4 linked regions of the Lepisosteus oculatus genome follow. The protein of the gene in region 2 purifies or fractionates together with the protein of the main gene of each other region. This does not show direct contact. Links are inferred from orthologs where the notes say so. Each region holds a gene or a part of one and is shown on either strand. Other genes may lie near its edges. The genes, in order: mta2, zmynd8, znf687b and mta3.

Evidence for each region.
Region 1: the proteins of zmynd8 (region 2) and mta2 purify together in Homo sapiens (affinity purification with mass spectrometry; 3 studies listed by BioGRID and IntAct, with this or other methods). This does not show direct contact. The link is inferred for Lepisosteus oculatus from reciprocal best matches to the Homo sapiens genes ZMYND8 and MTA2.
Region 3: the proteins of zmynd8 (region 2) and znf687b purify together in Homo sapiens (affinity purification with mass spectrometry; 4 studies listed by BioGRID and IntAct, with this or other methods). This does not show direct contact. The link is inferred for Lepisosteus oculatus from reciprocal best matches to the Homo sapiens genes ZMYND8 and ZNF687.
Region 4: the proteins of zmynd8 (region 2) and mta3 purify together in Homo sapiens (affinity purification with mass spectrometry, with the first as the bait; 3 studies listed by BioGRID). This does not show direct contact. The link is inferred for Lepisosteus oculatus from reciprocal best matches to the Homo sapiens genes ZMYND8 and MTA3.

The regions. Positions count from the first base shown.
Region 1 is NC_090713.1:21,715,585-21,723,249, reverse strand, and holds the start of mta2 (metastasis-associated protein MTA2), read right to left. Parts: upstream 3,277-7,665; 5' UTR 2,786-3,276; coding exon 2,758-2,785; intron 1-2,757. Other genes in the region: eml3 (echinoderm microtubule-associated protein-like 3), read right to left, coding at 6,765-6,971, 7,577-7,665. UniProt on the Homo sapiens protein: May function as a transcriptional coregulator. Acts as a component of the histone deacetylase NuRD complex which participates in the remodeling of chromatin.
Region 2 is NC_090711.1:7,658,550-7,666,192, forward strand, and holds the start of zmynd8 (MYND-type zinc finger-containing chromatin reader ZMYND8), read left to right. Parts: upstream 1-4,225; 5' UTR 4,226-4,520; intron 4,521-7,488; 5' UTR 7,489-7,643. Other genes in the region: translocating chain-associated membrane protein 1-like 1, read right to left, coding at 776-894, 1,999-2,059, 3,701-3,820. UniProt on the Homo sapiens protein: Chromatin reader that recognizes dual histone modifications such as histone H3.1 dimethylated at 'Lys-36' and histone H4 acetylated at 'Lys-16' (H3.1K36me2-H4K16ac) and histone H3 methylated at 'Lys-4' and histone H4 acetylated at 'Lys-14' (H3K4me1-H3K14ac).
Region 3 is NC_090722.1:6,133,246-6,141,047, reverse strand, and holds the start of znf687b (zinc finger protein 687b), read right to left. Parts: upstream 3,621-7,802; 5' UTR 3,386-3,620; intron 848-3,385; 5' UTR 828-847; coding exon 1-827. Other genes in the region: psmd4a (26S proteasome non-ATPase regulatory subunit 4a), read right to left, coding at 5,560-5,739, 6,250-6,317, 6,447-6,578, 6,740-6,848. UniProt on the Homo sapiens protein: May be involved in transcriptional regulation.
Region 4 is NC_090712.1:14,766,129-14,774,717, reverse strand, and holds the start of mta3 (metastasis-associated protein MTA3), read left to right. Parts: upstream 1-5,292; 5' UTR 5,293-5,538; coding exon 5,539-5,566; intron 5,567-7,793; coding exon 7,794-7,861; intron 7,862-8,589. UniProt on the Homo sapiens protein: Acts as a component of the histone deacetylase NuRD complex which participates in the remodeling of chromatin.

The sequences.
Region 1 (7,665 bases), on a different chromosome or scaffold from region 2:
GAGATCCAAGTGTTAATGAGATCCTGGACGGGTGTCCAGTCCCGGTCCTGGAAAGCTAGGTGCTGCTGCAGTTTTTTTCCCCATTCCAGGTCAATGCTTAATGACTGCAATTAGCTCATTACTGGCTTCTTGGACCAGTTTGCTGCTGCTTTGAAGAGACCTGGAAACTCTGCAAATATAGTACTGCCTACTGGACCAGGACTGGACAGCCCTGCTGCAGACACACTGACCCCTCCTGGACCAGGACTGGACAGCCCTACTGCAGACACACTGACCCCTCCTGGACCAGGACTGGACACCCCTGCTGCAGTCACACTGACCCCTACTGGACCAGGACTGGACAGCCCTGCTGCAGGCACACTGACCCCTTCAGGACCGGGACTGGACAGCCCTGCTGCAGACACACTGACCCCTCCTGGACCAGGACTGGACAGCCCTGCTGCAGACACACTGACCCCTCCTGGACCAGGACTGGACACCCCTGCCATTATCTAACCCCAAAAACTGGTCTTTACCGCTCAGTGTGGGCAACCACCCCCCTTCACAACGCACACTAGAACGAGAGGGTATAAGGACCTCCAGATCTAGGAGAGGAAAAAGCTCCTGAAAACCACCAAGACGGGCTGATGACCACACAGGCCAGCGGCACAGCGAGCCTGTTCCAGCAGCGGGGGCTGGACCCAGAAGCCGGACCCTGCAGACCCTCAGGGCGCGGAGAGATGGGGGCGCAGCGCTGAGGTCGCTGGAGCAGAGATACGGGGCCACCAGGGCCGCAGGGGAGGGCTGTCCTGAGTCACTGGGGCTCTGGTGTGGCCCGGGGCCAGGAGCAGAGGGTGAGAGTGTGCGCACGAGAGCAAGGGGGCGTGCAAGTAGGTGTGCACAAGAGCACGCACCACCAGGGCAGGGAGCAGAGGGTGAAAGAGTGTGCAAAAGGGCAAGGAGGCTTGAGCGAGTGTGCACAAGGGCAAGGAGCAGAGGGTGAAAGAGTGTGCACGAGGACAAGGAGGCTTGCACGAGAGCGCACACCAGGGCAAGGAGCAGAGGGTGAGAGGGTGTGCACGAGGACAAGGTGGCTCGAGCGAGTGTGCACAGGGGGCTCGCACGAGAGCGCGCACGAGGGCAAGGAGGGTGCAAGGAGGTGTGCACAAGAGCTCGCACCAGGGCACACGAAGGGAAGGAGGCATGAGAGAGCCTGCAGGGGCATTAGTAGGGTGGGCAGCAGGGAGACAGGCCGAGACCTTTCTGAAGCCCACCGCCACCGCCGCAGGGGGGGGGGGGGGGGCCTGAACCCCAGGCGTCTCGCTCACTCCTGAAAAACTTCCACCTTAAAATCGACTGGGTCGCTTCGAGACCCCCCCACCCCGGCAGGCCAGGAGACAGGAGACAAGGCAGGCTCACGTGTGTCTCTACACCGTGATACTTTGCCCCCGGGGGTGGGACGAAAAGGTCGGGGGGGGGGCAGACAGTTGTTGGCACGTCCAGCAGCGAGCCCCCCGCGCTGTGGCGGGGTGGATGTCTGTCCCACGGGCGCCCTGGCTGTGTGTTATTGGCGTCACAGTCCACGCACGGGGAAAGAGGGGGCGGGAGGGCAGCTCCTCAACAGCAGGGCTTCAAGATATAAAGAATAAAGCCCCCCCACCCCCTCCCCTCAAGGCCTCGTGCCTGCACAGCGGCCCCCCGAAACCCCCTCCTCGCTACCGGCCGCGCGACGGCTTCCGACACGGTGGTTCCGCCTTCGCGATAAAATCCGCCCCCCCCTCCTCCTCCTCCTCCTCCCGTGCGACAGCCACAGACACGCAGGCCGCGCGGACTCCGCCGGGGCTCCCGTTCAGCTGGTTTCCACGCCAGCTGCGTGGCGTGTGCGCGCCACGCGTGCTCCTTTTGTGTTTGTTTGGTTCTGCGCGACCATACCGGTTACCCTCCACTCGAACCGTGTGTGTGTGTGTGAGAGTGTGTGTGTGTGACCTACATGTCGCCTTTTCAGACGCGACCAGAGCAGATCGCCTCTCCGCACCGCCGAGCCCTCGGTAACGTCCACACACACGCTCGCTCGCTCACGAACCCCGTGGCGTGGGCAACCTGCGTCCTGCGTGGAGTTCCGCGAACAAGTCCCCGAAATAGTTTGTATTTATTTATTTTTTTTAAACTGAACAAATTCAAGTCGTCGTCGTCCTCCCTCCCACCTCGCACGGTTCAATCACCCCCCCCCCAAAAAAAAGACACCGGCGGTTCCGGGACCTTAAACCGGTTGTGTTAGATTTTTTTTTACTTCCCAAAATTCAGCCTCTCCGGACAGGAAGATACGAACCGTCTCGGCGTCGGCCGGGTGTTTTTTTTTTTCCCCTTTCTCTTCGCACAAGAAGAAAGGAAACAGTTTGCGGTTTTAATTTAAAACGACCCCGCCACCCCCCTCACTCACACAAACACAAACTGAATAAAAATCCTTCGCCAAACTTCCTCCGGAGATCACCGGGGGGATAGAGAGAGGGGTGCTCGGGGCCTAGGGCTTCGACGGCAGAACAGAGACCCGGTTCGATGTCACCGGAGCACCGGGATGGATCGGTGCCTCTTCTCCCCGAACCGAGGATGACGATGATGATGATGATTCAATTCTCGCTGGCTGGAGCGACACGCACGGAAATAAAAAAATATGCAACCCCCCCACCACCTCCTTCACCATCACCTCCTCTCTGCATCCTAACCCCCCCACCTCGGGACAGGAGCGACCCGAACTCGGAACCCGACTGGCGAACTCACCCCCGACTCTGTACATGTTGGCCGCCATTCTCCGGTCGCCGTCTTGAACAGACACCCGGCCGAGGGAAACCCGTCGGCTGCGGCCGAAACAATTCTCCCTTCTTCTTCTTCTTCTTCTTCTTGAAATAGGAATTTAAAAAATAAAACCACACACACAAAACGAAAGAAGGGAGGCAAAATCCGTCTCCCGGCGCCGATCCGATCCGATCCGATCCCGGTTCCCCCTCGGAGGCGGGCCGCCCTTCGCCTAGAAACAAAAGGCGAGGGATCACCCGCGCCGCCACTCGCGAAGTTACAACTTTCCGTTACAGTGTTGTCCAGGTTTAGCCCCCTTCTTTTTTCTCTCTCTCTCTTTCTTTTTGGGTGGAAGAAAACCCGTGTCGCCGCCCGCCGCCCCACGGCTGTTCCTGTCCGGCAGGGGAGAGTCCACCAGCGCCCTCTCCTCCGCAGTCACTCGCTCACAGTCCCGACACACAGCCACCCCGTCTCTCTCTCTTCCTCCCACCCTCCGCTCCCAGCCTCATCCTCCTCTTCCTCACCTCTCTTCTCACACACACACGCCACATCCCCTCCTCCCTCTCTCTCTCTCCCTCCTCGCCGGCTCACGTCATCTTCAGGGGTGGACCATCTCGCCGCCCGGGCCGGACTCGCCTCGGCCGCGCTCGGGTATCTCCGGCGGGTTTCGTCTCGGCTGGGGATCCCGTCTCGTCTCGCCGAACTACCCGCACCAGGGCGACACCGAGCGACAGGCCAAAGCAATGGACAATGAAACGCACCCCCCCGGGTGTTAACACATACCCCTCCCCCCCCTTTGAATAATCGCAGAAGTTGCTCGCACTGTATTTGTGCATCGATACGTCTGATCTACGCAGCCCCCCCTCGAGGGACGGGAGGGGGCACAGCACGCCCTGGATTCGAACCCGCAACGTCCAGGAACCCTTCCCGAAGATGCCGTGCGAGAAATGCTCCCGTCGCTCTGTAATTATCCTACCGGGGACACCAACGCTTATTGAACTTTTCTGTGTGTGTGAGGAGGAGGAGGGGGGGAGTTTTTTGCGACACGTGTTTACCGCTTTTGACAGCCACAGCCCGGGGTCATGCGAGGCGAGGGCGTCGTGTGTTTTAAGGCTGGCTGCGGTGGTTTGCATCGCCCCCCCTGCAGCAGTCCAAGCCCGGGGGGAGGGGGTCATTAAGAGACAAGGTCGCCGTGCACGCAGCCGGGCGCTGGGACGTCCCGAGGCCGGTCTCTCGGCTCCGCTGCGCCCCACAGCCGGCGGTGGGCACGGACGCGGAAGTCCCGCCCCGCTCGGCGGCTCCAATTCGACCCGTCGTGCGGGACCGGATCTGGCCCCGCCGCCGCCGCGCTCGGCACCGCAAAGGCCGCACGGGCGGAAAAAGTTCCGTTTCAGCGCGTTTTCAACCCACCAGTTGTTATCGGGGGGGGGGCGGTGAGGCGTTCGACACTGAAAGGCTAACCAGGAAGACGCCAGAGGAAACTGAGTGGAAGAGTGGTTCAGACTGAGAGCGGGCGGGAAGGGAGGGAGGGAGAGAGAGAGACACACACACACACTTTACACATAGGGTGGTGGGAGTGTGGAACAAGCTGCCCGGCCGCGGTGCTGAAGCCGATACCCTGGCTTCTTTCAAGGCACAGCTGGCTGAGATCCTACAAGCAGGACAGGAGGCACCGCTCTACGCCAAGGGTGGCGGGAGCGTGGAGCTATTTTCCCCAGCCACGTTGTTGAGGCTGATAACCTCGACGTCACTCAAGACGCAGCTGGGTGAGACGCTCCAGTCTGGGCGCAGGAGGCCCGCCTTTACACAGAGGGTGGTGGGGGTGGGGGACAAGCTGCCCAGCCGTGGTGTTGAAGGCGATACCCTGGCTGCTATGTATCGTATCCATCTTCTCTCTCAGCATGCTGTAACAGTGCTGCGCCGACATCTTGCTTGGTCTTCGTCTTTGTCATGTTGGGGTGCTGTGTAAAACAAACTTCCCCAGTGGGCAATAAAGCTTGAATCGAAACTTTCGAGAAATGGATTGACCCTGGGATCGATTAACTTCTAAGTAAGTGGGTAGGGCTGCACACTGGTGGTGGTGGAGGGGATCCCCAAAACCTGTAAAGTGCTTTGAGTGGAGTGTCCAGAAAAGCGCTATATAAGTGTAAGCAATTATTATTATTATTATTAAGTTATGACCTTCTGGTTGGGAGACCTCTCTGAAGTTATTCATCCTTTGGAACAGCTGTTTTAGACGCAGGGGGGTCTCAAGACTGGTCTCCCCGAGACCCCCTGTCTTTTCCGACTCCTGCTCCAGTCTGGGCCGTGATGTGCCAGTGTTGTCTTCCAGCTCGGAAAAGACGAAAGGGAACTGCAAACGGGTATCAGCTCGTTGTGGGGTTGTCTCGCAGAGTTTCACTCCCGGTTGTGTTTGTGCGCCACCCGTGGGCAGTGTTAGTACGTGCCGTGTCTTAAAACCAATAACTAAAACTAAAATAAGGCCGCAAACTCTTAGCTCGTTGGAATCGGAGCCATGCAGCTGAATTGCAGGTCGTTGCTGCCCTCTGCTGGCAACACGTGGTACTGCGCAGGAGGGAACACAATTGACCGAAAGCCTTCAATTAAACCTACAGTCTCAGAAAAAATATTCTATTTTCTTTTTTAACTATAAACAGCCACAGTGCCGGAGGAGCCGGAACGTCGCTTGAGTGAAGCCGGCGACGAGCTGTTTCAAGCCTTCGATACACGAGCTAGACGGACACACCGGACCTCCAGTGGGGTCAGAATTCAGCCCCCCCCCTCCCCGATTGAGACACCCAGCTGCAGGGCAGGGGACCCCCATCACGGCCCTCAAGGGCCACAGTCCACAGTCAGGGTAAGTGGGTCTCTTCGAATCTCCCGTTTCTCAGAGACTAGGAAAAAGACCCCACCTGTCTGATTCAGCCCGTAACGAGTTCAATGAAGTCATGGAGGGGTAGGAGGACAGCCCACACCCTCCTGTCTCCCCATGAGCGACGCTGTGCCCCCCTACTCTAGGATGGGGGGGGGTTCTAGGTCTCTTTCTGTGTTCAGCACCTACAGCAGCAGGGATCCTATTTAAATCTGTACTGTACATGTTGTATGCATGTCCCACCTGTGTTCTGTGCTGTACCGAAAGCAAATTCAACCAGCTACAGTTGTGTGGCAAGAAAGAATAATCTAATCTAATCTAGGAGCCCCCTGCTGGTGGTCCCAGTCCAGTCTCACAGCCGGGAGACCCCCCACCAGACCAGCCCGCTGTCGCACCCCAATGACCTCCACCCTGCTTGGTTCCGAGATTTCTTTGTTTATTCCAGGAGGGGGGGGGGAGGAGAAGCCAAGAATCACATTTTCTGGAGTGTAGGTTTTGCAACAAAAACAAAACAAAAAAATCAAAAATCAAAACAGACATAAGACATAAGCATCTCTATAAAACAATCTCTGTACAGAATGAGAAAAACGACGTTTGGTCCGAAATCGTGGGCCTGGGTTTGGTGGTCCCTCTGCAGCCCGAGGCGCAAACCCGAGGAGGAGGAGGAGGAAGAGAGAGGCTGCTGAAAGGAGAGGAAGGTCCCGGTCCGCTGGCTTGTTCTGTTTGGAGCTGCCCTGACTCACAGGATCTCTCATGGGTTTTTCTGGCCTAGAGAATCTGGGTGCAAGGCGGAGTACACTCTGGACGGGACGCCAGTCCATCACAGGACACACACACACTGACACACCAGGGCCAGTCCATCACAGGACACACACACACACTCACTCACCCTGGACGGGACGCCAGTCCATCACAGGACACACACACACTCACTCACCCTGGACGGGACACCAGTCCATCACAGGACACACATACTGACACACACACTCACTCACCCTGGACGGGACGCCAGTCCATCACAGGACACCCACACACTGACACACACACTCACACACCAGGGCCAGTTCTCCCACCAGCCCGCGCCTCAGCCGTCAGCGGTCTCTCTCGGGGCCCCTCTGCTCTAGGGACCGGGCTCCTGGGAGCTGACGGAGTTGGAGGACACCGAGGAGCTGCGGTCCAGCGGGGCGCCCCCGCCCCCGCCCCCCGTCACCCTCCACTGCAGGATGCAGGTGTCCTTCCCACCCATGGAGATGAGGTGGCTGTCGTTGTGGGTGAAGCGCACGTTGGTCACATGGCTGCCGTGGCCCTCATACCGGTGGCTGGGGGCCTGTGGGGGGGGGGGGGACAGAAAAGGGGTTAGGGGAGACGCCCCCCCAGCAGGGTCTGCAGCTTTCCGAGCGGATCTCGGTGGGACTTGGGGGGGGGGGTTTGGGGACGAGGCTGGCCGAGCGACACAGGGCTTGGCATCGTAGGGACCGCCCCCCGCCCCCCGCCCCCGCTGGGCGCCGGAAAACGAGGCCCCTGATGCGTCGGGGGGGACGGAGCCGCTCGGAGCGGGATTCCCACAGGCCCAGTGCCGGCAGTCCCCCCCGAGGGGCCGGCTCGCTCGCTTGCGCTCTCGGCCAGCAGGGGGCGCTGTGGAGGGTGGGGTCAGGTGACCTCCGCCAGCCCTCCAGGGTCAGGGGTCGCAGGTCAGGACCCAGGGTCAGGTTACACAGCTACAGCCCGAAAAACTGAGGTTAAGCAATCAGAGGTTGCAGTCTGAGGGGGTATACCCTCATGTGGCTTTGTGATCTCTAAGGACTTCGCTTGTCCTTCGACAAAATCACGTTTCTGGTGAGGGAGGGACATCTGTTGACCCCGGTGGGTGCTGTACTGAAGACAATGTCAGGGTGTTACAGGCCGCCTGTGGGGGTGGGTCCGCACACTGACCTTGGGCTTGGGACAGGGGTACTGGAACAGATGGACCTTGCAGAAGTCATCGGCCACTGCCACTGCCCTCTCGCTGTGAGAGCGGCACA
Region 2 (7,643 bases):
TTTATTTACTTCCTCTTCCTGTATGTATCTGTCTGGTATTTGGCATGAAAGTAAGCTGTTGCTTCCAGAGCAGGGCTGTTCTCACACAGATAGAGTAAGCACCTTTTAACTCTGGAACAAGCAAATAGCCTGTTTCCTATAGGTAATTCTCAGTAATGTAGCCATGTGGCTGTAAGCACAGGACAGAACAGGCAGATGCAAAAATTACATACATTCTGGGCATTTTGCTAACACCCTAGACACTGACAACTTTCAAACTACATCAAAATAATAAAATACACAAATCTTAAATATGACATATCTTTCACAATCATTGTTTTCTTCTACTGGAATTAAATGTACAACACATCATTTTGCAGGGCACCAATGTTTGTATGTTCCTACTTTTCTGATGGGGATAATGACTACTACTACTACTACCACCACCACCTCTGGATGTTGCTGCTGATGTCACAAAGTGATGTTTCCAATATTTAGATATTTAGCAACTTTACACCTTATTCTTCCAAATCAGTTAACTACACCATGTTTACTAACAATCTCCCTAATTAAAATAAATAATCATTTGCCTATCAACTTTAGGTTTAAAAAAAAGCTTGGGCTTGTTTATACATAGGTTTTGGCTTCCTGTTTCAGCTGTTATAGTTTATAATTTCAGAAAAGTCTCTACTTTTTAGATCGGTTGTTTTTAAGAACACAAGCTAACAGGTTCCTTCTGCATTGAATAATGCTGGTTTCATTCTTATATCATTGCCAGTCCTGGTCAGTAACTTACATCGAGAATGTACTCCTGGATCAAGGCATGAAGAATGATTGCAATCAGGACATAGAAGAAAACTGTAGCCATATCTTTTGGTCCATACTTATAGAAATTGACAGGCTCAGGTCTGTCATCTGTATTGAAAAGAGGAAAAAAAGATAACTATAAATGTTAACCCCACACTGTTAAAAATCTAGTAGTTTTCCAATTTTAAAATTGCTCAATATTCCAAAAGAATTTATGCATTTTGAAAATTTTTTCAAGCAAACAGCAGTTGAGCCATGCTCTTTTCTTTTTCCAGTTAAGCAGCATTATACCTTTAACTACAGATTAATATCGGTGAATGCTTCCTAAGAACAAGGTCAAAGGAAAACATTCCAGCAACAGCATTTAGAACCAGGGATGAGAATTTCTGCACCATTACTGATGCAACCATCAGTCCTGTCCCCGGGGTGAGTCCAATTTTGTTATACTAAATGTTAACTGTAAACCTCTTTAGCATGAGTTTGATTAAACCTACCCCTTTCTGGAGATACACAGTACTCATCGTATTTAAACTTTTGAAAAAAGATGGGAAAAAAAAATTAGGCAGACAAAACAAAAGGCATCAGAAAGGCTTTTACTTGCGTTTTCATCGATTTTAGATGATTCTGGATTGACCTTAACAGTCTGCACGCAACAGACACTAACACACACATAGCACATCTGAAGAGCTGCTCTTTAGCCCAAAACCTATGTCAACTGCATGGTTACTCTGATGAAGATGATCTCATTTCTTACCCCCCTCAGTTTTTCCTAACGCATTTCTTTTGACTTCTGCACATCTTAACCCAAGTTGTCTCAGTGGGTAAACTTTTCATTGTAGTGTGCTACCAGACAATGCAACACCAAGCAAATGAAACTGGGACACTGGCTTCACTCAAGCCTTTTCTGAATGTAAAAAGCCTCTGCCATGCTCGACTTTTGTGATTATTCCCAGCAGCTGTAAGGACTCTGTATCAAACTTTATTGTAGCAATGCTTTAGTTTTATTAAAGTCCTTTGAGTTGAGTCCCCAGAAAAGTGCTATATAAGTGTAAAGAATTAATTATTTAACGAACAAAAAACAAGGAAATGTTACAGTGAAGTAAAAGGCTCTGAGGCAAAACACAAATAGCATATTTCTGAGATAATATTTAACCAACTTTACACACTGTAAAAGTGTACCCCATGTGTTTTTTATTAAAGTTTAAGACTTACCAAGCGTGTATGTCACATTGTATTGGACAGTAATAAACATGATGGCATATTTTGCTGTTACCTGCAGAAAAAAAAAGAACAATGAAGAAACAGTCATTAAAATGCTCTCTCTCTCCAATAGAAAAAATACACTCCAAACTAAACATTAAACTTGTATGAAGGGCAACAAGCATGAACTGAACATGTAAAATCGTAACATGAAGGTCCAATGATGTACTGCTAAAGTGCACGTAGTCAAGATTTGCTTTAATGCAATTTTCCAGGGCAGGAAAACCTAATCTCTGCCTGAGCTCTAAATGTGAATATTAAGAAAAACAATTGTGTCCATTTTTATTTGCTCTGATATTTTCCAATGCTTGGTGCTCTGTTTTTTTTTCTTCCCCAGGGAATGGCACACATAATCATTTTGTCTCAAACTTCAAAACTCCTTTGGATGTCAGTTCATCAATATTTTTATTTATATCCTAAATGGCGGGCCCTGACACTTATGTCTTGTCCTAATGTGGTATTTCTGCTTCTTTGCAAATCAGGTTACTGATGTGAAAACTCTGCATCAATGTGCAATGACATTATAAGATGATGCATTTCGTTTTAACCCCCTTTTCAGGCCCAGAAAAGGGCCTGTGTGACAGTGTGAGTCACACTGTCTTGTGTTTTTCTGGTGCCCTGTACAAACCCGGCTACAGATTTGAAATATTTTCAGAGCTGGCATGTGAGATAGCAATGGCTTTCAATTCTCACAGTTTCACCTAGTGTTGCCCCATTTTCAATGACTATTCCTGAACTTCCAGACAAAGCCTCTCTTTGTGGAAGAGTTTTATACGATGCACTACATAAAAAATGCATTGTAGCAGAAACCGCAGATAATATCATAATCCAGTAAATACAAATACAAATAAATTGTACTGTATCAAAAACATGTACACATGAAGTTAATGCATGATAATGCAAGACTGCTGAACCCTTTGGACAACTCGTGCAACGTCAGTTTTATGCTGTAAAACTAAAATTAGTAACTTTATGAATTAACAGAAGACATTTTAAATTTTAAATTTTAAACCGTCCAGGTGCCATTAGTTCATTCGCTCCAAAAACAAAAGCTGTGCCTCGCACCCTTCAATGTAAATAATGACTGCCGAGACGCGAAAACAAACATTTTGTCAAGTTCGTCGTCGTTCGCATTCGAAATATTACCATCAGTAACAGGTAACAGGCAGAAAAAAAATAAACGTTTAAAACATTGCTTTTTGCGGTTATATTTAGTACAACCCTAAAGCACCTGCAGTATGGCAAGGTACATAGCTGCATTTGGCACATCCGATCATTAATAACACTTTAACCATCGACCAGGCGTCACTGCCCTTCGAGTTAGCCAGCTACAGTACCTCTTAAAAACATATCTTCGGTGTAAAATGATATTTTGATGTGGGTGCCTAGCTGTGACATCAGCCCAGTAAGCTGAGGCGTTATATAAACCAATAAAGACATTTCTGGCGGCTCTGAACTATGTCCGGGAGCTCTTGTGTTCGGCACTCTGAACTATTTGCCCTGTTGAGAGGAGCTTTTCCTGTAATGTGACCAGGTTTATATGGCCGCGTTCAGTCTTAATGATCAGGGGGGGATAGTTTGTGCCCAGCCCCCTTGTGGCTGTCAACCGGGTGTCCTGCGTGCCGATCTGCTTTTTGTTGTTTCCTTACTGTACCTCAAACATGAGTCCCAGCAGAATGATCATGGCCACGCACGACACCATATCCGCGTGGTTCTGGATCACGAACTCGTGGCTCAGTACCGGCGGGCTCTTGTTCTTCTTACGGAAACCCATGGCTCTGGCTGACTCGGCAAGCACTTCTTCCCGCGTGTGTTTCCCAAAAACAAGACCCCCCTTTCCTCTTGCCCCGCCACTTCACTGTTGAGAAGGTGCAGTATTTTAGCATGAATTCGAGAGGATCGACAGAAGGCAAAATGTGCTCACAAACACACACACACACACCACGCACGCAACCACCGGACTCAGCCCGACGTACCCTCCCAGATTCTACTCCAGACTCCTCCAAGCACCGCCCACTGACGCACAGGTCCCGCCCCCCGCGGCAGGGACACACGTCTGATGGACGGGCAGATGGACCAATCGGAAAAAGGAAGCCGGGATGAGCGGCTGAGGCGTCCGCCAATCGTCACCCACGCTCGGTGAACCTGCCGGGCAGGGCAGAAAACCGTCAAGGCCTCCATCTCCGCTACGTCAAAGCTCTCTGACTTGAGTCGTCGTCGTCGTGTTGTCACAGCGTGCTGAAGCGCTTTATTTCCCCTTCACAACAAGATCGACTGCTGTCTTCTCCAATAAGAACGCGTTCATGAGCATTAAACCTTGCAGTTTTAGGGTACAGAAAAAGAAGGGTTTTTTTTTAGAATGAGAGTGGCCGATGGGGGTTCTGAATGCTTAGGAGGCACATAATCCATACACACACGTTTTTTTAAAGCATTGTACAAGCAAGACTGGGATAACACCGATTTCTTCACCAAAGGTTAGTAAAGCCGTTTCATGAAAAGAAACAAAGGGCTGCACTGATAGTCTAGAATACTTTACATTTCTGGAGAGATTTTGTATCGGGACCAAAGAAAACATTACACGGGGCGCAATGCAACTAAGGTTTGGTTACTCACTTCAGAGGAGCATTAAAAATCCTGTGCGATTACCGTTTCCTTAAATCTAGTTACACTTACAACTACCGAAGGGTTTTGGTATGTACAGAACCTTCCTGTTAAAGCGTTTGCAAGCTGCATCAAGTGAAGGTGTGAAGAGTCTCGTTGGAATGAAACTAGAATTCCATTTTGTGATTAAATTATTTAGATATAAAGGTCTGGCTGAGTGGTAACTTAAATAAATGAGCCTGTTCACTTGGACACTTATACACTTAATGTATAAGTACTATCAACTGTATGCAATTGTTTACATGCATAGCCATAATATGCAATGATAAGCAATTATATTGACATATTTTAGTTAATTACTGCCATGTTGCCTAGTGCGATTCCTGAGTGCCGCTGAATTCAACAGCCAGTGGCTGCAGAAGCCAGTGCATAGAAATGTAAATACAGACATGCTTTATATTTAAAAGACAGAAAAATTAATTCAGGGAAGTTGCAAAATCTTCAGAAGCAAAATCAAGTCATCAGTGCCTGTGTGTTTTAAACATCATGGCAGTGAGGGCTGGGCCTAAGAGGATGTCACCTTAAAGAGATAAGAGCTCCCTTAAAAATATCCATTGTGAGGACAGCATCTTACTATAAATCATCTTCCAGCTTGTCTGAAAAAAAAAGCTTCAGCACTCCCGAGGCTGATGAAGACTTACAATTCTCAAAGAGATGTGGTGTGTTCACTTTGAAGGCCTCAACACAAGTACTGTATTGTGCTCACCAAAAAAATGAGAGATTTTTGACAGCCATTTGTCTCCACTTTGTTTCAGTGCCAGGACTGGAGGAGACATTTTTAAACGCTGTGTATCCAGGTGTGGTTAATCAACAGCTGGGCAGCCTATGCACATAGAACACATTTATAAGCTTCAGTCTGTAAAAGTAATTTTGTGCAGTGATGGAGTGGTGATGAAGTATTCAGAATAGTAACTGAGCTATGTGGTGGAAAAGGTGTAAATGTAAATGACCACTCTAAGGTTCTGGTTGTTTATCATCTGACCCTTTAATTCTATGTATATGGAAGTCTAATGTGCCAAGGCATGAAAGAACACAACGTGATTAGTGTAGGATGTGAGAGTGCAGCCTATTTATCTATACTAGAATTTGCCTCAAGGTGTCACTATTACATTTAGGATCACAGAAAAAGGGCACAAAGCTATACAGTAAATAGTATTTCCTGCGAAAATAATGTTTCTTCTACAAGTGAATTGTAAAATTATAATGCAGGTGTATAGCAGTATTAGAAGGTGTTCAACACGTGCAGGTGTCAGAACATATAATTGCAGGCTGTTCAGTAATTAGTAAGAAGTCCATTTTCGACACTCCATTATAGGAAGGAGTGAGTGAGGCCAATACTTTAAGCTTTTAGACACCTGAATCTCACAAAAATTGTAAGTAGTAGCCAATGTATATCTCTATATGTTGGGTGCTTTTAAATCTGTTATGAATTTTTTTTTATATGATTGTTTTATCTTTGTGATTGGTAGAATTCCTTGTTCTTGCCACATAAATTAACTTTTATTATGCAAAACTATAGCAGTGCGGCCTGATATGTAAGAAATATTATGCCATTCTGAAATAAAATACAATTTGTTATAGATGCACAGTTTGAATTCACAATGAAAATATATGGCATGTTTGTGTTTAAATTATGTATAAAAAGCTTATTATATATTATTTATATGAAATATTATTTTATATTTACTTTTAAAAACATTTGTTTCACAAATGCAACAATACCCCAATAACCAATTAATAGAAATTTGTGAATCACATGTAAAAAAAACAAATTGCTGTTGCTGTTAATCAGAGTTTGTGACCCGACTAGAGGACATTGGCTACTTTTTGTAGCACAGTGCATATATTTCATGGGGAAAATAGGAAAAAAACAGTACACACAGTTCCACTTTGATTGAGGTAATGTCAGCCTTTTCTCCTGACATAAAACAACCATGACAGTACTATATTTAAATAATAATTTTCTGTTGGAAAACCAGAAATTACGAAAACAAAACAATATTTTTCATATAGAAAACAGTTCATTTTGGTAGATGTTTAGTGCTTGTATACAAATCTATTTTTATTTCTGGATTAAATCTAATACAGTATTTGATTAGTAATGCACAATCAAACTGTCTTTTTCTAAGAGATTGTAAGTAGACCAAGATCTAGAGAAAACAGTAATTTTGTGGAATCTAATGGGAATTAACTGAATTTGCAATACTAACATTTTGTGAGATGTTGTGTAATATTAGAAATATGCCTTTAAAATATAATATTTACATTCACTGTATATTGTCTGCATGTTTTTATATCTAATATTTCTGCATATATATAGGAAAGATATATATATATACACAAATAATTGTGTAGTTGGCCAGTTGACTATTTTGTTCTTAAGAATCTTATAAATGTAATATTTCTAGAAGCCTGGTAGATTTACAGATGGGCCTAAGACAGACCTTCTACAGACTGCTGTCACCATTTATTCTTACTCTTCATTCGTATACTTTTGCATTTGGGAACTTAAATTTTCTGTGGATTGTTAAAATAAAAGGGAGGGATTTCTTAGACAAAGGCCTTTCTCTCTGCAACAGGGAGGACGAGTCAGACTGCTCCTAGTTTTCATGTTTTGGGGAAATATTTTGGAAAATACAGTTAAATACAACCCAGCCAATGTAGGATGCAGTGATTGGTAACGATTTTAGAACATTGTATGTGTTCATTTGTTTGTAGGAATGTTTTAAAGTGTGTATTTTGTGATTTGGGCCTAGATCTGGCTCTTCTTTTTGTCCACAGAGCTGCTCCTGCCTGCTTGAGCTGAACAAAGATAATTACTCAGGAAATGTTTCAGCCAATCCGCTGCCGCTTTACATCCCGGTAGTGAAAAGAGGCCATTCAGGGTCTAGCTTCTATCTGGCAGTCTGATCATCAAGCTGAAGTGCCAAGCCCTT
Region 3 (7,802 bases), on a different chromosome or scaffold from region 2:
TGGTCCTCCAGTCCTTCCGAGAGACTGTCGTGCAGCTGTAACTGCTGCTGCTGCTGCAGGAGAAGCATTTTCCGGGCTTTCCCCATGGGATCAGCGGGACTCTGGGCCATCAGCGGCTTCAGCCGGTTGAAGATGTTCACGCCCTGTTTGCTGCCGACGCCCCCGGAGTTCGCGACAGCGTTCTCGGGGGTCTTGGGGGAACAGGGCGCCCACAGCTCCCCGTTGGAGACCTGGGAGGAGCCGGGGGGCCTGAGGGCCGCGTCAGAAGGCCCCGAACCCGCCCCCACAGCCAGGGCCGCCGCCGCCGCCGCCGCCGCCGCCCCGAACCCATTGTGGATCAGCACCGCCGGTTCCGAAGGCGCCACCATGGCCGGGCCGGCCAGCCCCGGCAGCCGGGGGCCCAGGCGGGACCCTACGACGACCCCGCCGTCTCGGTCGGGCTCGGCCTCCATGTCCCCGAAGGCCTCGGGCCGCACGCGGTTCTTCACGATCACGCTGACCACGGAGGGGTCGGGCTGGGGCGCCGGCAGCTGGACATTCTGGGGGTGTGGCTGCTGCTGCTGCTGATGGTGGTGCTGATGGTGGTGATGTTCTGGGGGGCTTGCGGGCCGGAGAGGGGATACCCCTCCTCCACCGACCACTGCTACGCCTGTAGCCCCCCCCCCTCCTCCTCCTCCTCCACCCCCCTGCTTGACAATGCTCCCATGGTTGCCGTGGTGACCCTCGGACTCATCCGGCGCGGACTGGATGGCTTCTTTGGCGTCGATGTCGGGGATGTCAAAAGCCGCCAAGAGGTCGTCAAAATCTGGGGTCTTCATGTCCCCCATTCCGGGATAGCGGACAGAAACTGCAGAGAGGAGAGGAGACAAGGACCTGTCACAGATATGTCCTCTCACACGTGCCTGCGTGTCCTCTGCAAATGTCATCGCAAGGGAGTCCAGATCACCGGCACCAGGCTCTCAAGAGGGAGCTGCAGGTGAATCAGACCGCCGTGCGCTGGGAGTGCGATGGCTAACGCGCACACCTGGGGCTGGACCGGTCAGCTGTGCGCAGGACACCTGGCCGGCCATGGCACAAAATCAGTTTCAAATTTCCCCTTTTCGACTTCATGCTGCTCTTCTCTCCCCAGACTACACAGATTCTTGAACGACCTTCAGAAAGAGCTACTTACGCCACCGGCCCTTTTAAAACCAGCAGCCCGGAAGATGTGAGTGAGGCCGAATCCACCCTGTGTCTTCTGACGCATCACACAGGGTAGAATCGGCTCCACACCCCCCCCGTCCCGACAGCACCTGCCTGCCGCTGCCACATACCGAGAGACATCGCCGCCCTCCTGATCACGGCAAAGACCAGCTCCCTGTATACCGCTCATTTCGGAGCTGGCACCTCCCAGCACACTTGACACTGGACTGTGAACAGGCGCCGTCCTTCGGATGAGACGTAAAACCGAGCTCCTCACTCTCTGTGGTCATTAAAAATCCCAGGGCGTTTCTCGAAAAGAGTAGGGGTGTAACCCCGGCGTCCTGGCCAAATTCCCCATTGGCCCTGACCAATCATGGCCTCCAAATAATCCCCATCTATGAATTGGCTTCATTACTCTCCTTTCCTCCCTACTGAGAGCTGGTGTGTGGGGAGTGTTCTGGCTGCCATCGCATCATCCAGGTGGGGCTGCACATTGGTGGTGGTGGAGGGGAGTCCCCATTACCTGTAAAGTGCTTTGAGTGGAGTGTCCAGAAAAGCGCTATATAAGTGTAAGCAATTATTATTATTATTATTATTATTATTATTGTTATTACTTGCAGAGGGAGAGATTCTTTCACAGCCCAGCAGAAACGCTACGGCCATCCACTTCCAAACCACTGCAGCCAGCTCGGGGCCACAGGGGAGCTGGGGCCTCTCCTGGGTACAAGGCAGGGTACCACCCTGGACGGGACGCCGGTCCATCACAGGGCAGACACCCTCGCACTAGGACCGCTTTTACCCAGAAGCCAATGAACCCGCCAGCGTGTCTTTGGACTGTGAGAGGAAACCGGAGCGCCCAGGGGGAAACCCACAGGAACACAGGGAGAACACGCAGACTCCACACAGACAGCAGCCCCGATCCGAATCTGAACCGAGGTCCCCTGCGCTGTGGGGCAGCGATGTTAATCACTGCGCCACCGTGCTGCACGGTATCACCACGCATTGCAAAGAAATAAAACTCCGATCCTGATCCCGGAGGGTCTGAGGATATTCAATCCAACTGTAAGGACTTATCCAGCCCCCTGCTTGGTTTAAATTTCACAATTAGGCCCAGCTTTCCGTATGCTGGAACTCTAAATCCTGCAGGTTCTCTTAGCTGCCCCTGGCAAGGAATAGCAGGAACATCCTGACAAAAGGATCTGAAAGTACAATGTCCATTTCACTACCCATTTTAACTGCCCTGTAATTAATTTAGAATAAACTACAAGAAAACAGTCAATTATTTTACTTCAGATCTTTTATCTGTAAATCGTTTAGTCGTTAAATAAAAAGGAATAAAATAACATTTTCACATATGCGCTCTGCTAGCGGCTTATGCATGGATCGTGAGTTAGACTCCGCGATGAGTCGGGAGCGCAGAATTGGACCGGGACTAGTCCACTGGACAACAGTCATAAAGCTCCCCACCAAAGCGAAGGAATTATTTTTCATCCTGTTGAGAAATCAGCACAGTCGAGGGTACAATATGCCTGTACTGGCATATATACATATATATATCCACTCTTGTGAAAAAGACGTGGAAAGGTTTCACGTCTTTTACGAAAAAAAACGTGGAAAATTCAGTCCCGCGGGCTGTGCAGGGAACGGACGGGGGCACATTATTTCGGAACATGAGATCGATCACATTATTCGGCTGAACCCCGCAAACTCTAAAACTCGACGTCATGATCCACCACCTCCGAAGGATCAATAATATCCATCACAGACAGCCGCGCCGAGCCGCTCTCGGAAAAGGTGTTTCGAGGGCAAGCGTGAACCGCTGAGCGCACGTACTTTCCGGATGGGGCGAGTACGGGTTCCTGCGAACACAATCTTAGGGCTTGCACTTGTAAACGCACCCGGATGAAACCGTTTAATTCCGCCGGTTTCGTGCGATATTTCGGGGAGGGAGGGAGTGGAATTCATGCCGTGGCCAAAGTTTTTTTTCTCCTCCTCCTCCGCCGCCGCAGCCATCAGGGACGGATCTGAGAGGGAGTATCTGGAGGAAGAATGCGGGCGTTTTAACAGACGAAAATGAGGTTTCGACTGCACTTCGGTGGGGGAGAGGCAGTCAGTGCGGGGTTAGGAACTGCTATCTACACTTTGGGGTGCGGAAGAGCGCTGCCCGCCCGGGGTTTCGGGGTGAAATATTGTGTTTGTTTACCTGCCTGCGAAATTCCTGTGTCTCCAACCTCCCGTCGCTGCGCCTGAGTTTCCCGTCACCTGATGGGGACAGGTCCTGTCAGATTCACGCTGCCTCTTCTCCGGCACTGGAGAATCCGTATTTCGAGGCTTTGTTTACTTTTAATAAAATAAACTAAAAATGTATTAACCTCTTTCTGTCACATCACACCGCCTGTTTGTGTTTTATTACTGCCCGTGGTTTTTTTTATGTGTACATCAAGCCGACGTTAATTTTTTGCTCTTCCGAGACTCCACTCTGACGCGGACTAAAGCCCGAAGGAGAGCCCGCCCCTGGGTCGATAGAAAATGGGCGTTGATTGGCGGAATAGAAGATCCCTCATAGTATCCCCGCCTTTACTGTTAGTATGCTAACTGCGATTGGTCAACGTGTGTGTCTGTTAAAAGTGTAAGGTCAGGGTAGCTAATACGACATCAGAGGTTACCAAGAGTTTAAAAGTTAAAGGGCGAGGAAATTACGCCATTTTGGTCCTACTGGCGACCCGTGCAGTAACGTGTATCCAGAGCCAAAATGGCGGAAAGACGGCTTTTATTTCTAAAGAAATTACCTTCTGTATTTGCGAGATTGAGGTATAATTGCACTGAAGTCGCTAAGGAAAAAATACATGCTCTGTAACCATACATATACGAGTCGTTTTCTTATATTTTAATTTTAGTATTGCCCGCTTTAAAATGCGTGCCCTATCCCAGCTCGTCCGTCGGCTGACAGCGACGGTCGCTCCGCTGGGGTTGTACGAGTACCACGACTCCGTTTTCAAAAGCCCTTCAAAAACACTTTTCCTTGCGTTTCCTTAGGACCATAAGAAAACTTTAAAAGGAGAGGAAGCCAACCGACCGATTCAGCTCGTTTGAGTTAGTAGCCGTAACCATTCTGAGGATCTTAATCGAACCGTGTTGAAAGAAACAGGGCACTGGCTTCAACGGTATGGCTGTATAGCTTGTTTCACACTCCCACGACACTTTGCGTAAAGATGCAGTTCCAAGAGATTTCCGCTGGGTGTCTCAGCAGGCTTTGCAGTTATACATTTAGTATTTACCATTACTGAAGAACAGAATCAATTTTGCTGCGATCAGTTAAACAGGTAGTGTTGAAGTATTTTAAAGATCATCTGTGATGTAAATGTGGGGACCATATTCGAGAGCTCTCTTGAAGATGTTTACCTTCCATCACTGCTGAACAATTAGCAGGTGTTGCCCCCGATTCGCGACAGGTGACCGAGATCGCTGGTTCCCAAACCCATGAAAATCCCGCGGTTTTCATTCCAGTTGAGCTCTGCCTCTCCGATGCAGATTCCTCACTTAATTATCAGCTCGCTTTGGACTGTAGTTGACATGTTTCTTCAGGCAGCCCGAAAAAACAAATCCCACTTCAAGGGCACATTTCCCACTTTCAGCAAAGTCTCAACCCGCTGGCGGCCTTTTTCTAACTGGAACAGCTCTTCCTGATCGATCAATGAACATTCAGGCCCTCTAGACTGCATCCAGAGCCCAGACTTGAACAAGAGAATGGCGGATCAATTATACCCAACATCATCATCAATACACCATAGGACACAATACATTCCAATACTTTTTTTCCCAATTTTTTTATTGTTGAAAGGCTGCACAATACAGTACTGCATCTGCATTGGGGAGGAGGGGGTAAAAAGAGAGGAATAAAAGAGAGAAAAATTAGGGGGAAGAAAAGAGAGGAGGAGAAAGTGTGAACTGAAGACAGAGAAAGGAATGAAAGGGTTATGGGGGGGAGGGCAGAGACCCCAACGTCCCTCTGGGTTAACCATTAACTTTCCGATACAAAAATGACCAGGCTCTTGAGTATGCAGGTGTCTACATCTGCGTGTGTACCAGCCCCCAGCGCCCGCCAGACCTCTCTCACTCGGACTGTGGCCCCACCCATGGCCCTAGCCGTTTCACTGACATTGGGCAACACTCAGGAAGAGCAAGCAAGATACTGGGTGTGTTCCAGCCCTGCACTGGGCAGAGGGGCGGGCGCTGGGCAGCCCTGTTCTAGTGTAAGTGTGTGTGTGTGTATCCCACTGTGTGTGTGTGCGTGTGTCTCGGTTCCCTTTCCCAGAAGTGTGTGCGTGCGTGCGTGCATGAGTCTGTCTTCCCCTGCGAGTCCATGCAATCGTCCCGTTATTTCTTCTTGTCTTCCTCCTTGTCCTTCTTGCTCCCCTCGGTTTTGGGGGTGCCCTGCGGGGCCAGGGAGCCCATGGCGTTGCGGATGGCCTCGTTGTTGGGGTCCACCCCGGGCAGGTTCTCCAGCACGCTCTGCAGGAACTCGGGGTCCTGCATGACGTCATAGTCGTCTTCCTCCTGGAGACGGGAGGGGGAGGCGGTGAGATAAGAGGAGGGAAGAGGGAAAGGTTTCTCCCAAAATTGGCAACTGCTTCCCTGCCCCCCACCCCCATAGCGTCTCCCCCTAGAGCCTGCTGAGCTCTGTGACCCCCCAGCTGTTGCTGGTTCGAGCCCTGGATCTTGTCACTGGACGACTGTGATGCGATTCCCCAGGAGCGCCCCCACGTCCAGCAGGCCTCTCCCAGCTCGGAGCGCCACCCCCTAGGCTCCGGGGGCATCAGCCAGGTCTCGGAGGTTGTCAAGAGGTCACGGGGGGAGATCGTATCCAAGGGCAACCGGAGAGCTGGCGGTTTTAGATCGAGGGAGGGTTTCCAACACTGCCTGCCTGCTCACTCTAGTAAAGGTTCACCAACGAGCACATTTCTGCACAGGAGGGAGGGGAGAATGAACGAGCAGGCTCGTCCGTGGGGGACAGGAGGTATGGGGGGAGATGGAGCACGCGGAGAAGGAGAAAGAAAATCTACGTACCTTCGTGGACTCTGTAGTCTCCATGGCGGCTCCGGTGTCCATGTCTATGGGCTCGGCCTGGCCGAACTCTGCCAGCACAAGGAGAGAGAGAGAGAGACTCACTGAGGCGGACTGGCGGCAGAGAGGGGAGCTCGGGCAGGCCAGCGAGGGCGTGTGTGCGCGTAAGCAGTGTTAGGAGGAAGCGAGCACCCCTGTACCTGGCCCTTGCAGTGACATCTGCATGGCGTAGGCGATCTGCTCATCTTCCGTCATGCTGCTGAAATCGGGGAGCCCGGGGGTCCCCGACTCGGGCTGAGACACCGACATCTTCAAGAGAGCCTCCTCTGACTCTGAGGGAGGGGGAGAATAGAGAGGAGGTAAGACCAGATCCTTCATCGAAAATACAGCTCACATATCTCAACCTCTACCCTGCAGCGCCACCCTGCTCCTTCCCAGTCCTCCTACGCATCCCTCGCCTCCTCTCCTCCCTCCCCAGTTCCCATCCTCTCACCGTCTCCGGAGGGAGTGGGGATTCCCGCTTCGGCCGCGGAAGCAGCAGCTGCCCTGCGAGCCTCTTCCTCCTGCCTCTGCCTCTGCTCTTCCATCGACACGCGCAGAGCCTGGAGGAGAGACAGCGAGAGGAGAGGTCACTCCACTGAGCCTGTGGACAGGGGATGAGCGGCCTCACAGGCATCACACACGGCCGCCAAACCCCAGCGATCTCTGGACTGTAGGGTTACAGTGTGACCCAGACTGGACCAGTGATCTCTGGACTGTAGGGTTACAGTCTGACCCGGCCCAGACTGGACCAGTGATCTCTGGGCTGTAGGGTTACAGTGTGACCCAGACTGGACCAGCGATCTCTGGACTGTAGGGTTACAGTCTGACCCAGACTGGACCAGTGATCTCTGGACTGTAGGGTTACAGTCTGACCCAGACTGGACCAGTGATCTCTGGACTGTAGGGTTACAGTGTGACCCGGCCCAGACTGGACCAGTGATCTCTGGACTGTAGGGTTACAGCGTGACCCGGCCCAGACTGGACCAGTGATCTCTGGACTGTAGGGCTACAGCGTGACCCGGCCCAGACTGGACCAGCGATCTCTGGACTGTAGGGCTACAGCGTGACCCGGCACAGACTGGACCAGTGATCTCTGGACTGTAGGGTTACAGTGTGACCAGACTGGACCAGTGATCTCTGGACTGTAGGGTTACAGTGTGACCAGACTGGACCAGTGATCTCTGGACTGTAGGGTTACAGTGTGACCAGACTGGACCAGTGATCTCTGGACTGTAGGGTTACAGTGTGACCCAGACTGGACCAGTGATCTCTGGACTGTAGGGTTACAGTGTGACCCAGACTGGACCAGTGATCTCTGGGTTGTAGGGTTACAGTGTGACCCGGCCCAGACTGGACCAGTGATCTCTGGACTGTAGGGGTACAGTGTGACCAGACTGGACCAGTGATCTCTGGCCTGTAGGGTTACAGTGTGACCCAGACTGGACCAGTGATCTCTGGACTGTAGGGTGACAGTGTGACCCAGTCCAGACTGGAACAGCGATCTCTGGACTGTA
Region 4 (8,589 bases), on a different chromosome or scaffold from region 2:
TAAAAATAGATTCTCCTTGACAGCAAACAAGCCGATCCACCTGGCGCTGCTCAAGCACAGCTCCCAGACCCGTGATTGGCTAAACCCCGAACAGCTCGGGCCGCGATTGGGTGAAGAGTGAGAATCGACACTCTGATTGGGTAAAGCGCTACAGCGGAAGTTCCGAGAACATGTAGATACACAGGTGATGGATGTTCTTCTTGGTCCAAATACTGTAGCCCCGGTTAACCGTGTGTGCTGTGTGAGCACGCTGGATATACAGTAACACATCCATTGGTTTCCAATTACTGATCAATCTAAGAGAAGTCGCACTGAGGTCAAAACTGAATAGTAGACAAAGAATGTCATGGCACCCACAGCGCGTTCACGACTCCGACAGCATGTCACGATAGGAGTGCGCGCATCACAATCACATCGCGATACCCATTGCGTCTGGCAGGTCACTATCGCGACATGAAGTCTATATATCGCGATATGACATTGGCTCGTCAAAACGCCCCCGCGCTCATGTCGCGACATGAAGCCCGCATATCGCGATATGACAAACGCCCCCGCGCTCATGTCGCGACATGAAGCCCGCATATCGCGATATGGCATACCCCGCCTAAACGCCCTATCCCCCATGTCGCGACATGGAGTTCATGTATCGCGATATGACCAAAACTGTCACGCCCATATCGCGATACATGAGCTCCATGTCGCGACATGGGGGGTGGGCGTTTTGTCGGGACATTTCATATCGCGATATAGAGCCTTTCATGTCGCGACATGGGTCGGGGCATTTTTGCCGGGGTATGTCATATCGCGATATGCGTTATGTTATGTCCTATCTGGGTATATCATGTCCTGATTTGATACCTTTATTGCGACAGTCGTGCCAGGGTGGCATGGAAGCAAGGCGCCAGTCGTGACATACACTGCCGCGATATACATGCAATATGCATGGGGTCCCTATCTAGGTCTTGTTGCGATGGTGTCCCACAGTTATGCGTTTGGCAAAAGCGTGTCAAGGTAGGGGAAGAAAAGGAAAACGTGCCTTAGAAAATAAAAACCATAGATCTTACAATCACGGTGATTTTACAGACATTACAACCACAGGTTTATGTCATTGGTTAACTTGTTGCCATTATTTTAAGGAGACTATATGTTTATGGATATTGATTGTCTTTAAAATGTTAAGGGTACGAGCTAAACTGTAACAGCGCGCTTGAACTCGGCAGACGGGGTCACTGGAGGTCAAAGTCACCGTGCATGGTCACGTGATCAGCGGAAAAACAAGGTGCTTTATCTCGGGAACGAAAGCAGCACAAACGCTACTTTCAACGGTACCAACAGGCACAAACGTAGCACTAACGAATGAGGTGGGTTTCATCGTTTGTGCTGTCTGTAGTGGGACCAACGTCACGGAGCTTTTACCTTGCCTTTAAATATTCAGCGGACTTGAGCATAACATACCAGAAGAAGCTCGAGGTAAACCCTGCATGGTATTTTAAATACAATATTTCGGACGGATTTTGAATCTTGCGTTTTGCGTTGTGTTCATTGTGTGGTGCAACAAAATATTAACTTCAGAGTAACTCGTAAAACTATTGAACAATCTATAAGCGGGCATAAGAAATACTTAGAACTGTTATAAGCAACAAGTGAAAATGGGCTTGTTTGATCCTTCATGATGCTTTTAAACGTGTATGAAACCCATTAAATTAGTATTCTATTTTCGATGCCAAAAGACACCTAATTTGGAAATCCGTGACTTCCTAAAAGACTTGACACTGAATTGTTATAGTCGCATTACAGTGCTAACCAATTAGTCGTACCTTTAATTGCAAGAATGGTCTGCTAATAAAAGCGCACATACATACTTTGGATGTATTTTAGCTCTGTAAACACTAAGGGTATGCGCCCAGGCCCACCCGTGGCTACGCCCCTGCCTCACAGTAGTACTCAGTGGACATGACTGAACTCAGTAATGAATCCAATTCATAGATAGGGATTATTAGGAGGCCATTGTAGGTAAAGACCAGGGGGAAGTTTGGCACACCCCCTCTTTTCAAGAAACGTCCTGGACTTTTAAATGACCACAGAGAGTCAGGACCTCGGTTTTACATCTCATCTGAAGAACGGTGCCTTTTTTCCCCACAGTACAGTGTCCTCTTCACTATACTGGGGCATTAGGACCCAGGCCACAGGGTGAGCCCCCTGTACTGGCCCCACTAACACCTCTTCCAGCAGTAACCTTATCTTTCCCAGGAGGTCTCCCATCCAGGTATTGGCCAGGTTCACAACTGCTGAGCTTAAGTGAGTGGTCAGTTGTGGGTTGCAGGGTTATATAGCTATTTAACTTTTTGTGATTAGAGATGTATTATTTACTATTACTTATTATTATCTGGTGATTAGATTCAGTGTACAGTAGTATCACTAGGCTTACCAAGACAAGTGGATGAATTGGTGTGTACAGTATCACAGTGTGTGGTGGTTAGTGCTGCTGCTATACAGATCTTAAGTCCTGGGCTCAATTCCTGTGTGGCCATCCTTCTGTGTGGAGTTTGCATGTTCATCCTGTGTTTCTAGGGGTTTTCTTTAGTTTTTTGTTTTCAGATAGATTGTGGTTTTTGTTGTCTCTATGTGTGGGTTCTGTGATATATGATACATGCTGCAATAAATGTGTAACTACTCCAAACAGACTTATTTAATTCTTTGACACTTACACGTGGACCATATTCATTTTAAAGTAGATCTGGTCACTGTTTTCTATATTTCTACATTTTGTTCATGAAGGATGTATATTTTAATTTTGACTTTTCTAAGTTTTCTTTAAACAATAAATATTAGAAAGTGGCAAATGCAGTGCATTTTACTTTGTATATGTAAAATACAGAGCAGCTTTCAAGGTGATCAAAATAAACACTAGCATATTATTGCAAATTGCTGTGCTTATGAAATGGTAAATCACTGAACAATTAATTTTTCAAAAGTCCTCTCAATAAAAGATGAAAGCACTGAAGATAGCACGTTGAATGTTCTGCACTCAAACAGCACATGTTCTATTATTCAGAGGCCATGGGATTCAGTAATGTATTGAAATATTATTTGTTTGTTCACTTTGGCCGTTGTGAATAAAGTACTATACTGGCAAATTACAGAACCCTTGGTGCTACAACAGATTCTTTCAGTGGATTTTTCTTCCTATGAAAGCAAGAGGCCACTGATTTGATGGGTGTATTTCCACATGCTGGAGGTTCCAGATATGTAAGTCTAGGGATGGAGCTCCAACAGTGCAGGAATGGGTGCATACCTTTTAATGCCATTTAGGTATGACATCATGGGCCGATGGACAGGACCGTTCAAAACTAAACAGCTCAGAACACAGAATAAAAAGTAATCAGACCATAAAACATACAGTCTCCTGATATGTTAGAGAGCCTCGTGGATTTTAACATTCTTTCAAAGCCAAATGGTGAAGAACTCACACCTAGCAATCTCTTTAACATATTTAGATCGAATTTTATTAAAAAGAAAAAAAAACATAAGAAATAAGGTGCATTTGTAATATAAAACCTTAAGACTGTAAAGCCTTAAGCAAACCAATTGAATTTGTCAAGTATACTCTATTCTCTGTTTTGTTAGTCACCTGTCACCATTAAGTTGTCTACATGTACTGTCTTCACCATACCAGCTCCAGCTGAAGTCTTATTCACAGTGTTCATATGAAATCTTGTTGTAGTGTACTGTTCACTGATAGCTTGCATACACACCCAAATCACTGGATCAACACAATATCGTCTCGGCCAAAAGATTTAGCTGGCAGCTGCAACCTCCTAAATTAAAACATGATCTTAGATTTGTTAGACATAGAAGAAATTAAGTTTCCCTTGTAATTCTGTAAAGCAATGTTGTTTTCTAACTGAGAAACAGACAGGCAATAGCATAGGCAATGTCGCAGAACGTGCTGCCAATAGGACCCAAGCCATCCCCTTTCCAGCAAATCTGTTTGAGTGGTAATGGATCTGTGCATCTGATTGGGTTCTGCCAGCCTTTTAACAACAGGGCCACTCCAAGCTGTGATTAGAAGTGTTCCACCCTCATCTCTGCATATACAGTAGACGTTAATAGAAATATACAGCCATTGATTGTTATGACATCGAGAGGAACTAAAACTGCTGCCTAGCACCTCTTTGAATGCAGGAGAATCCCTTGGCAACATGTCTCCCACTGAGTCCATTGACATATCTCTGCTGCACTCCAGTCTAATTAAAGACATTGATTACGGATAGAACAATTACAGCCTGCTGATGTGATCTGAACAGGTTAATTAATGAACGGCCTTATTAGGGCTGTCATCGTGAAGCTTAGGCTGAATCCAGCTGTTTATCTTATTGCCTCCTCATTATTTCTGTGGTATTTTATTAGGCATGGGATTTTCAGTTTCCTTTCTCTGTTAATCTGAATTCAATAATTTTCACAAAAATCCAGGATTCTAGACACACCTTTATTAGGGTCATTAAATACACTCACATGGCAATGATACAGTTTAAAGAGTGCTACATAATCGTATGCACATGGGTGCGCAAAATGTCCTAACACCCCAACCGGGTTACAGGATAACTTTTGAGGTATGTCATGTTCTGCACAGACAGACAGCCGTGTATATGCAAACTGAGGGAACAGAATATTTTTAGTCTATAAACAGAGTTTAATGCAAGGGTACTTGGTTCAAGGATTCAAATTCCTGAAAGGGATTGACTAAGGCAACCCAACAGTCTTCTCCAGCAGTGTATAACAGAATGGCAAAAAGAGCAAGAGTATTTTAGATTTATTTACACAAAGGGCGGCAGGAGAGTGTAACAGGTGATCCAGCCATGTTGTTGATGCATAACCCCAGGTATGGTTCAGGAAACCGCAGGGTGAGATGGCACAAATTTAGCAGCAGAATACCCACAATGGACGGAAAGGCCTAATCTGGTTTGTAACCTACGTGTTTTTAATGCTTAAAAACTTTATTCCATAAAACATGGCACAGACACACAAGACAAAGCCCAAACAACGAGTGTATGTATGAATGGTGTGTGTGTGTTTTTAAACCCCTTCTACTCAGTTGCCTTCGGGTATTTCCGTGGAAGTAAGTACCCACAGTACGTGAAATAACCTCCGTCGTGAGGCACTTCATCAAGACTCCTGCCCAGCGCTGAACAACTGCGGCTTGTGAGTGGACGCAGCACCGGAGCTCCACTATGGCACCGCCTTCCGTCTGTGCCCTCCCCGCCAATCCCCCACATCCCTCCACCCCCACCAGGAAACAGGGCTCCGAGCTGATCTGAAGCCTTTCGGCGTGTTTGTTGCTGTATTGTACTGTATGCAGGGAGAGGGGGGGTTGTTTTAAATCTCTCTCCCGCTCAAGTCTCGTTCCACCCCCCCACCCCCCACCACGCCATTTCATTGCGGTATATTTATATATAGGTACTCTTTTATTTATTTTTATTTTATTTTGTAGTTTATGATTTTCCCTTTTTATTTTTTTCACGCTCCAGGAGGGCAGAAATGGCGGCCAACATGTACCGGGTCGGAGGTATGTCAGTCTAGATTTTTGATTTACAAAAGTGTTGGTATTTCTTTCAGCGTGACGGGGTGTGCATTAATAGATATTCGCAGAAGTACGGTTTTAATGTGCCTGTCAAAAAGCTGCGGGAAGCAGGTCTTTTGCGAGCCCGGTGCAGCAGGAATTTTCAATTATTTGGGATTAAAATCTGGGTCGGGCCTTAAAACTAACCATTAGAAACTGAAAGCAGCACTCCCAAAACAAACACCATCTGATACTTTTTCAATTTTTGATACATTTCCTACACGTGTAAACGTCTATTGTGATATAAGGTCTTGAGTGTTCAAAGAGTGAAGTTGAAAGTAAGTTTTACAGTTATATTCTGGATGTGCGTCCATTGTTTCTCGGGTGTTTCTTTGTATTTATGCCCTTGTCTTTGCAATGATCTCCATTGGTCCCTGTCCGTAAATCAGTCATTCACGGTTTATTATGCACGGTCACATCCAAAGACTTGCAATTCGGCAGTCGTATGGTCCCAGAGTGTGTTTTTCTGTCATTAATCTGGAAAAAGGTGGTTGTTCTTTTTAGTGTCTCCTATGTTATAATAATGTCTATCGGTTTTTGAAACTCCGGTTGCTAGGATAAAAAAAAACATTTTTCATAATGGCTGGAATTTTCTGCCCCCCCCCCCCACCACGCATTATTTTTTTCAAGGTAAATAAAATATATCGAAATTACTGAACGAAGCTAGTGCGATCAGACTGGTCTTGTGTGAAATTTTGTGCTTCAAAGTATGGGAATGTTCCAGTCACGTGACACCTAAAAATATTGGCATCTTTTACGACAATCTTTTCTTTGTCATCAGGTAACTGGAGAAGTTCGTCCTTAATACAATAAAAACTTTGCTTTCTGTTTTGAAATCGTCCCGGCTTCTTTTTATTATTATTTTTGAATGATCAGAATAAGAGTACTTTGTATTGAATTAAATTAGGCCTTACATAGGTAGGTGTCTGGCCTGGGTGTCTTAAAACGTGACGTAGCTGCCAGTAGTGTATATGCACTTTTATGTCAACACCTAATAAACAACCACATTACATATGTGCGTATTACTTATATATGGATATAGACCTGTATTCTGTTATTTAAAATTCACTTGAGCAAGTCATTCTGATGTTTTTTTGCCCTTCAATCCAGTTTGTTTTTATTGCATATAAAATATTTTAGAGATTTGTATCTGGTTTATACATTGTAAAGGTTTAATATAACCCATGGATTATTTTTTTTTAATTATTTAAGTTGTTGTGTGGAGATCTTTCAATTCTACTTCTTCCTAATTCTGCTGTCTTGGATCACTAGGGACGCTTTCCCATGAGCTCTGATGTTCTAAAAACACTGAGTCCAGAAGCTGATTTCAGGGTTAGGAAGTAGGAGCTCAGGAAAAACCTGCAAATACTTGCACCTGTCCATGGCAACTGGTCCTACTGCTCCTTAATTTCCTCTGAGACCAACTAACACTCTTAAACCTCTTAAGTATCTTAATGTTGCCTTTTCTGACATTGCCAGCAAACACTCCTTTCTAGACATTAAGGCTTTTATTTGTACATACGTGTTATATACATGCAGGTATATATATATAAATAAAAATACATGCACATAGCAAACTCAGCATTTAAGTCGATTTAACTCTTGTGTTGGGTGTTTATCATGTTATTCTTTAGCATGATCACCTAAAACAGCATAACTGTGGATATGTACCTAATTCAGTGGGATTCTGCATTTTGAGCGGCATTACTGGAGCTTTTTTGTGTATGAGAAAAATGCACCAGGGTTAATGTTGTTTAAAGTTATGCGATATGCCACTTTCTGTGTTACAAACACCTTTGCAACAGTAATGATATGCTTTTCACTGAGCATCGTCATAGGCATTATTTGTATAAGAATTATAATTTATTTCTATTTTCAGTTTTAAAAAAAAGATTTATCACATATGCTTCTGTGTTTGCTCTGCATTGATCTTCAGGCATCAAAGTGCAGGAGTCTCAAACTCTGTTCCTTGGGGGGGCTTTTGTCTTCTGGTTTTATTTAAGTACTCAATTAAAAAGTTAACCTCATTTTGCAAATTAGACATCCATTGCATTACTGTAAATCTGTAATTATTGTAAATCTAGGTTAAAGAAAAATAATTTGTTTACAAGTTAAATATTGACAATAAAAACATTTCTTTTGAAAAGCTCTAACCCTGTTTGTTTTGTTGCAGATTATGTGTTCTTTGAGAACTCTTCAAGCAACCCATATCTAATCAGAAGAATAGAAGAGTTGAACAAGGTATTTTGCAGTGTTTTTCTGGGCTGGAACCAAGAGCAGGGTGGGAGTGGATGTTTGTAAAACCCTTGAGGGGATGACCTTTAAGGAGCAAAAAGCTTACATTTCTTAAGGGAACTGGGTAAAATTGACAGACCAGTATTTGCTCATGGTCACTGATCTTATTTTTACCTACTTGTATACCGAGGTGGGCGGACTTTAATCGTTGTTAAGGATTTTGTGAAGGTTGATCTTTGCATGTAATTCATTTTGCCTTTGTGCTGAGGGATTATTCGATCTGACCATTTAAGTTGACTCCTGGGGAAAGTGTTGGCAATAAGGAAATCATGGAAAGTAATCTCTCTGTTGACTCTCAGTCCTGTGTGACTGACAGATGTCAGCAATATGTTGTTATTGCTTGTGTTTCTATAGGACTTTCCATGTCAAAAGATCCCAAAGTGCATTACATACAGAAGTGGACTCACTTTATCCCCCACTTAAGTGTAGCACCATCAGTAGTGCCTTTCAAAAGTACTTACTTCCCTTCACTGATGTCCTACTTTGTCTCTTTCTGTGTGCAATAATAATGGTTCACATGATTTCAGTATAAATACACCTGTCTCTGTTGGTCCCTCAGTCAGGCAGTGAAATTCAAGGAAAGACTCACACATGGAGACCAAACAGCTTTTAGAGCAACTCGAGGACAACATTGTAGAAAGATACAGATCAGGGGAAGAGTATAACACAAATTT